Linked DNA regions of Stegostoma tigrinum. Each later gene encodes a partner of the first gene's protein in a complex. Links are inferred from orthologs where the notes say so. Each region holds a gene or a part of one and is shown in the gene's direction. Other genes may lie near its edges.

Region 1 (3,916 bases):
ATTGCACACAGTATTCCAAAAGTGGCCTAACTAATGTCCTGTGCAGCTGTATTATGACTCCTATACTCAATACACTGACCAAAAAGGCAAGCACATCAAATGCCTTTTTCACCACCCAGTCTACCTGTGATTCCACCTTTGAGGAATTTTGTTTTCATGTGTCCTCGTGTTGATCTCTGTTTCTTCAAGAATCTGAACATCCGTTTTTGTTTCTTGAGTAACTTTCCAAGAAGTTTCTCTTTTGAGCTGGAAGTGCACTAGACACTGAAATGCTTACGTGTTTGGTATTGAAGAGGAAAATTTCATTTGTTTGTTTTTCCTCCTTTGCAGGAAGACTATTTAAACATCAATGTGATTCCTTGGAGGTGACATTAGCTTTGATCTAAGATCTGTTGGCTAAGACAAGTCCTTTTATATATAAGGACTTCCCGGCTCCTCTAAAAAGCAACGCAATCCTCTCCATCTCCTTGGACCTAATTTCTGTTTCTATATTTGTTGTGTTGTCATTTTGCTTTGCCTGGTGCCTTTGTCACAACTTAATCATTCTCACTCTCATCACGGGCTGTTCCTTTTCAATTCTGCACTGATGTGGTTTACAGGGATGTTGTCAGGATGGCAGGTTTGAGCTTTAGGCCAAAGCTAAATAGGCTGGGGCTTTTGACCCTGGACCATTGGAGGCTGAGGGGTGACCTTATAGAGGTTTATCAAATCAAGAGGATAGAATGAATAGTCAAGGCCATTTCCCCAGGATAGGGGAGTCCAGAACTAGAGGGCATAGGTTTAAGGTGAGAGGGGAAAGATTTAAAAAGCGCCTAAGGGACAACCTTTTCAGCAGACGGTGGTCAGTATATGGAATGAGCTGACAGAGGAAGTGGTGGAGGCTAGTACAAATACAACATTTAAAAGGCATATGGATGGGTATATAAATAGGAAAGGTTAAAAGGGATATGGGCCAAATGCTGGCAAATGGGACTCGATTAATTTACCATATCTGGTTAGCATGGACGCGTTAGACCGAAAGGTCTGCTTCTATGCTGTACAACTCTATAACTTTACGTCCGTGACTCGAGAGGCTGTTATCACACACCATCCAGATTGAGGAATACATATATTGCGGTGCCACCATTCTCGCTGGGTCAAAGCATTGGAACTCATTCCCTAACCGTAGTCTAGGTGTTACTTATACACCCCATGGACTATAAGGTTTTATTTCCGTGACTGCCCGTCGCCTTCTCAAGCAACCTTGGTTACAATGGAACTGCCTGGGTGACTGAAGGAGCCGAATCAATGTAAGTTCTGTTGGAAGACCGTTTCTTTTTCCGAGTCAGTTTCGCACGATGAACCACACTTCCCAGAGGCCTTTGCACATTTTTGGGTGTAGGTGCCTTTACTTCCTGCTTCAGTAGTTTATCGCCAAAGTAGCAGGAAGTGTTGTAGACGATTGGAATAAAGTGCATTCACTGGAGGGTTTCACTGTGTTTCTTTCTGTGTGTACCGCCACGTTATCCCAGACAGAACGGGGACAATTTTTAGAGATGGGGGCACTCCTGCTTTATAACGGAGAGTCTGACTTTTGACGTGCAACAGTGTGACCACAATCCCTTCAAATTTCTTTTGAAACCAGAAGTTTGAAATCTCAACGTTTCACTTTTAAAGGAAAAAAAAATGTCTGTTTAGAAAGGCGTTGGATTGAGGTCATCTTTAGACGGTTGAGCGGGGTCGTGTTTTTGTTGGCTGGATTCTGCCCGGGGAGTGGGTGAACGGAGAGAGGAGCAGACGGCTGTCACCCAGGCTCTGGTATTGTTCAATGACAGCAGTAGCACCACTGGGAAACAGGACTCGCTGCAATGGCAGAGTCCACGCAGGTCACGCCGATAAACATCAACAGCCTGAAGGAACACACGCTGAAGAAAATAAGCGATCTGCTGGACAAGACCAACAACCGGGGATGGAGGAAACTGGCGGAGATTGTGGGAGCTGACAAGCGTTTCAGACTCACGTAAGTATATGTACAAGAGTACGTGTGTATCGCTCCCCGTTCTCCAGACCAACGTCCCGCCCCAAACATAAGTAAATCGTTCACTTTTGGCGGCGTTAAATTGAGTTCTCATTGTCACATTTTCTTTATCATTCTGAAGTTGGTCGAATCCGTTATTCAGTCTTACAGGATAATCAACTGTGGTGTGCATCACAACCAAATCATACACTGACTTGTCGAGTGCAGTTTCCTGTCAATGTTTTACAGGAGCCAGAAGCCTGATTGTTTTCACCTTTCTCCATAGTCTGGAAGCTACTTGTAGATTTTCAAAATATTAGAGATGTTATTTATACAGTCCAAAGACGTGCAGTTTGGCCATGCTAAATTGTCCATAATGTCCAGGGATGTGCAGATGAGATGCGTTAGCCATGGGAAATGCGGCGTTACAGGGATAGGTTAGGGATTCGGGTCGGCGTGGGATGCTCTTCCTAGGGTCGGTGTGGACTTGTTGGGCCGAATGGCCTGTTTCCACTCTGTAAGAATTCTATGGATACCTCTGGAGCAGGCAAAACTTGAACCCAGGCCTCCTACATCAGAGGTAGGGACAAAACAACTATGTCACGGGAGGCATTTACCACTGCTTTATTTTGGTAAACTGCCTACTTTTGGGTCTTAAGCTGTATCTGTGACCATTCTTGAAGATTCTCAAAGCCTGAAACTGAGTTTTTAAACTTTCAGATTCGATAAAGTAGCATTCACCCTAAAAGAGACAAAATGTACCCTCTTTATTGGGAAAAGAGAAACTATTCAGGAATAACTTTCTCACCTTGTTTCAGAGTTTTCAAGGTGATGATGTTTGTTTGCCCATCAGATGATTAATTGGGGGCAGGAAGAGCCCAGCAGATACTAGGTTTGTAAACTGGGATCCTCATGGGGAAATAATGCACTATGAGATGTCGCCATTGGATGAGATGTGAAAGTGAAATCCTTCTGCTCCCTTGGAGGATGTAAAGTATCCTGTGTCACTATCTTGAAGAATAGATGAGTCACCTCTGGTATCCTGGCCAATATTTATCCCTAAATGTAACAAAAATTGATTACCAAATCTTTATCAGCATGCTGTTTGTGGGAGCTTGCTGTTCACGTAGCAGTTGATGTGATTTTCAGATTGTTTGACATTTTCCAATCCCATAGAAACAACTTGTATCAAAATTAATGTTTAAAAAAAGGAAAGAACTATGAGTCCTGGAGATCTGAAACAAACAAAAACTGAAATTTCTGGAGAAATACAGCATTGTCTTGCAGCATCTGTGGGGAGAAAGCAGATTTAATGTTTCAATACTGTTCTGAAGAAGGGTCACTGGACTCAAAACATTAGCTTTCTGTTCTCTCCACAGATAGTGCCAGATCTGCTGAGTTTCTCTTGGAATTTCTGCTTTTATTTCTTTGTAAAAATTTAGATTTTGACTTTTCAGATCTTTATGACATGGTAATGTAGACATGAGCTGTAAATCGTTGGAATCTGGATATAGAAGCACTTGAGTATCTTGCCTCTTATTGTGGGTTAAGTTCTAATGCCCAGAGAACTAATAATATCAGGTAAAATTTGTGAATAATTAAAAAAAATGACAAATCAATAAGAGACAGGATGGTTTTCCAAAGAGATTTAGATAATTGGTACAATGAGGGCCATTTGGTCTGGGTTTTGCATCAAGGTTTTGTGATCTTGAAGTCATTGACTGCAATGGTGTTTGGAGTAAACTGAACACGAATAACTTTCAAAAAGGAATTGGATAATTATTTTAAGAAGGAAAAACAAATTAACAGCTCTGGGGAAAGGATAGGGGGATATGGACCAATTGAATTACTCTTTCAAAGAACCAGTACAGGTACGATGGACTGAAGGGCTTATTCTCTGCTGTATCATTCCATGAGGAC
Region 2 (3,916 bases), on another chromosome or scaffold:
CTTCTTGAGTGTTGTTGAGGCTGCACCCATCCAGGCAAGTGGGGAGTATTCCATCACACTCCTGACTTACACCTTGCAGATGGTGGGCAGGCTTTGGGGAGTCAAGATTTGTGTTATTTGTTGCTAGATTTCTAGCGTCTGACCTGCTCTTGTAGCCACTGTGTTTATGTGGTGAGTCCTGTGGAGCTTCTGGTCTATGATTACACCCAGGATGCTGATAGTGGGGGATTCTGTGAGGGTAACACCCTTGAATGTCAAGGGGCAGTGGTTAGATTGTCTCTTATTAGTGATGAGTTAGTCTGGCATTTGTATGATGCAAATGTCACTTGCCACTTGTCAACACAAGTCTGGATATTGTCCAGATCTCATTGCGTTTGGACATGGACTGTTTCAGTATCTGATGAATCATGAATGGTGCTGAACATTGCGTCAGGTGTGACCCCAACCACCGGAGAGTTTGCCCCCTGATACCCACTGATTGCAGTTTTGCCAGGGCTCCTTGATGCCACACTTGGTCAAATGCAGCCTTGATGTCAGGGGCTGTCACTCTCACCTCACCTCTGGGATTCAGCTCTTTTATCCATGTTTGAGCCAAGGCTGTAATGGGGTCAGGAGCTGAGTGGCCCTGGCAGAACCCAAACTGAGTGTCACTGTGCAGGTTATTACTGAGTAGGTGCTGCTTGGTAGCTCTGTTACTGACACCTTCCATCACTTTACTGATGGTCGAGAGGAGACTGATGGGGTAGTAATTGGCCGGGTTGGATTTGTCCTGCTTTTTGTGTACAGGACATACTTGAGCAAGTTTCCACACTGTCAGGTAGATACCCGTGTTGTAGCTGTTCAGGGACAGCTTGGCCAGGGGAGCGGCAAGTTCTGGAGCACAAGTCTTCAGTATTATTGCCGGAATGTTGTCAGGGCCTGTAGCCTTTGCAGCATCCAGTGTCTCCAACCGTTTCTTGATACCACATGGAGTGAATCGAAGACGGGTTTCTGTAATGCTGGGGACCACTGGAGGAGAGGTAGTAAAATGCCAGCAGACTTGCCCAGGGATGATTAGATGGGCTGAATATCCACATATGAAACTTTTTAATGCAACTGTTCTTAATCGCAATCACTTAAAGGTCCAATTTTACAACAGGGCAGAAAAGGGAATTTTTTTTCAGCCAATGAGAGTGTTTTGGGCGAAAAGAGACGTTGCAGTAAAAGCTGGGGCTGGGTTATCCAGCCATAATGTGAAGGTACAGTGAACTTCCGCATAATAGCTAATTCCTCTCAGTCAGAGTTTCGCTAAACGTGCTTTACGTCAGTGTTAGCGGAGGGACGGAAGTTGTAATTGGTTAGACTTTACAACCTTCAGAGAGTGTGTGTCTGCTCAGAAGGAAAACCAGGAAGAAAGTGTACAGTCCAACAATGCAAACATGTAAAAGTTGCTGCACGTAACTCCGGCCCGGCTCCGTGATCCCCGGCATTGGCACTACCCAGGGGAAGCCCCCACCCCCCTCACACCCGGGCACAGAGAAACTGCAGGGCTCCCCTCCTGGCACCCACACCCATGGAGGCTGCGCAGCTCACCGAGGACGAAATGGCTGAAATAAAAAAGGAAGTAAGTTTGTTGCCGCTGTTTGAGCGAAATGTGAAAGGGGAACGGGTTTTCTTTTGCCCCAGTCTCTGGTGCTCACCTGCCCCCTTACAGGGCAGGACAAGTGAGTAGGTCTGAGGCTAGTGGGCACACTGGGGCACCGAGCTGCTCTGCCCAGGATGGAAGCTGTACCTTGGACACTGCAGTGTGGGTACACCTGGGCACTGAGGCCGGTGTAACTGGGGCACGGGTACACCTGGGCACTGAGGCCGGTGTAACTAGGGCGCGGGTACACCTGGGCACTGAGGTTGGTGTAACTGGGGAGCAGGTACACCTGGGCACTGAGGTTGGTGTAACTGGGGCATGGGTACACCTGGGCACTGAGACCGGTGTAACTGGGGAGCGGGTACACCTGGGCACTGAGGTCGGTGTAACTGGGGCATGGGTACACCTGGGCACTGAGGTTGGTGTAACTGGGGAGCGGGTACACCTGGGCACTGAAGTCGGTGTAACTGGGGCGCAGGTACGCCTGGGCACTGAAGTCGGTGTAACTGGGGAGCGGGTACACCTGGGCACTGAGGTCGGTGTAACTGGGGAGCGGGTACACCTGGGCACTGAGGTTGGTGTAACTGGGGAGCAGGTACACCTGGACACTGAGGTAGGTGTAACTGGGGAGCGGGTACACCTGGGCACTGAGGTCGGTGTAACTGGGGAGCGGGTACACCTGGGCACTGAGGTCGGTGTAACTGGGGAGCGGGTACACCTGGGCACTGAGGTCGGTGTAACTGGGGAGCGGGTACACCTGGGCACTGAGGTCGGTGTAACTGGGGAGCAGGTACACCTGGGCACTGAGGTTGGTGTAACTGGGGCATGGGTACACCTGGGCACTGAGGTTGGTGTAACTGGGGAGCAGGTACACCTGGGCACTGAGGTCGGTGTAACTGGGGAGCGGGTACACCTGGGCACTGAGGTCGGTGTAACTGGGGCGCGGGTACACCTGGGCACTGAGGTCGGTGTAACTGGGGAGCGGGTACACCTGGGCACTGAGGTCGGTGTAACTGGGGAGCAGGTACACCTGGGCACTGAGGTCGGTGTAACTGGGGCATGGGTACACCTGGGCACTGAGGTTGGTGTAACTGGGGAGCGGGTACACCTGGGCACTGAAGTCGGTGTAACTGGGGCGCAGGTACGCCTGGGCACTGAGGTCGGTGTAACTGGGGAGCGGGTACACCTGGGCACTGAGGTCGGTGTAACTGGGGAGCGGGTACACCTGGGCACTGAGGTCGGTGTAACTGGGGAGCAGGTACACCTGGGCACTGAGGTTGGTGTAACTGGGGCATGGGTACACCTGGGCACTGAGGTTGGTGTAACTGGGGAGCGGGTACGCCTGGGCACTGAAGTCGGTGTAACTGGGGCGCAGGTACGCCTGGGCACTGAAGTCGGTGTAACTGGGGAGCGGGTACACCTGGGCACTGAGGTCGGTGTAACTGGGGAGCAGGTACACCTGGGCACTGAGGTCGGTGTAACTGGGGAGCGGGTACACCTGGGCACTGAGGTCGGTGTAACTGGGGAGCGGGTACACCTGGGCACTGAGGTCGGTGTAACTGGGGAGCAGGTACACCTGGGCACTGAGGTCGGTGTAACTGGGGAGCAGGTACACCTGGGCACTGAGGGCGGTGTAACTGGGGAGCGGGTACACCTGGATATGTACACCTGGGCACTAATGCTGGTGCAACTAGAGCAGCGTGGATTGGCTCACCTCGGCACAGGTACACCTGGGCAGTGGGGAAAGGCCCAGCTGAGAACTGGGAGGTATCTGATACATGGACAATGCAAGGGTGTAGCTTTTGGGCTGAGAGAGACTCCACAATGTGACTGAACTCAGTGTCACCTTTCTCTGATCAATGTTACGAAAGGTCTAATTGCTGACACTAAGTTCCTTCTGCACTGGGGTTTCAGCTTTATTTTATTTTGCAGTAATGTTTCTTGGAAACAGTTTTTTTTGGAAGTGTCACATGATGTTCAGCAGCGTCAGATCTTTTAGCTCTTGAATTAAACTAGCCTGGGTGTCTGTGGGTTAGAGGCACATTGACACTGTATGCAGAAATTGGAGTTAACACTGGCTGTGAAAGACCCCTCCCTGCAAGATGATAATCGAGAAGAGAACTTTAAAATCGAGAATGTATTTTAAAATTATGCATGCCATTTGCAAATAGAAAATTTGACATTTTTAACTGTGTTGTGTTTAATTTTTATTCTCTTCTTCTAATGCTGACCTTGGAGAAACATTTTCTTCGTATGTAAAGTTCTCTCTTTGTTTTCCTGTCTGTCCATGTC

The links.
Region 2: the proteins of malt1 (region 1) and bcl10 are in contact, whole or in part, in a cryo-EM structure (PDB 6GK2), measured with the Homo sapiens proteins. The link is inferred for Stegostoma tigrinum from reciprocal best matches to the Homo sapiens genes MALT1 and BCL10. Residues at the interface, in NP_006776.1 of Homo sapiens: Asp46, Gln47, Ala48, Pro49, Trp54, Arg55, Leu74, Glu75, Ser78, Leu79, Val81, Leu82, Glu83, Pro84, Glu85, Gly86, Pro88; in NP_003912.1 of Homo sapiens: Leu13, Lys17, Val83, Arg87, Asn93, Gln97, Thr100, Leu104, Arg107, Asn108, Leu111.

Annotation. Positions count from the first base shown.
Region 1 is NC_081354.1:151,657,832-151,661,747, reverse strand, and holds the start of malt1 (mucosa-associated lymphoid tissue lymphoma translocation protein 1), read left to right. Parts: upstream 1-1,419; 5' UTR 1,420-1,847; coding exon 1,848-1,999; intron 2,000-3,916. UniProt on the Homo sapiens protein: Protease that enhances BCL10-induced activation: acts via formation of CBM complexes that channel adaptive and innate immune signaling downstream of CARD domain-containing proteins (CARD9, CARD11 and CARD14) to activate NF-kappa-B and MAP kinase p38 pathways which stimulate expression of genes encoding pro-inflammatory cytokines and chemokines.
Region 2 is NC_081361.1:99,959,847-99,963,762, reverse strand, and holds the start of bcl10 (B-cell lymphoma/leukemia 10), read left to right. Parts: upstream 1-1,288; 5' UTR 1,289-1,552; coding exon 1,553-1,603; intron 1,604-3,916. UniProt on the Homo sapiens protein: Plays a key role in both adaptive and innate immune signaling by bridging CARD domain-containing proteins to immune activation.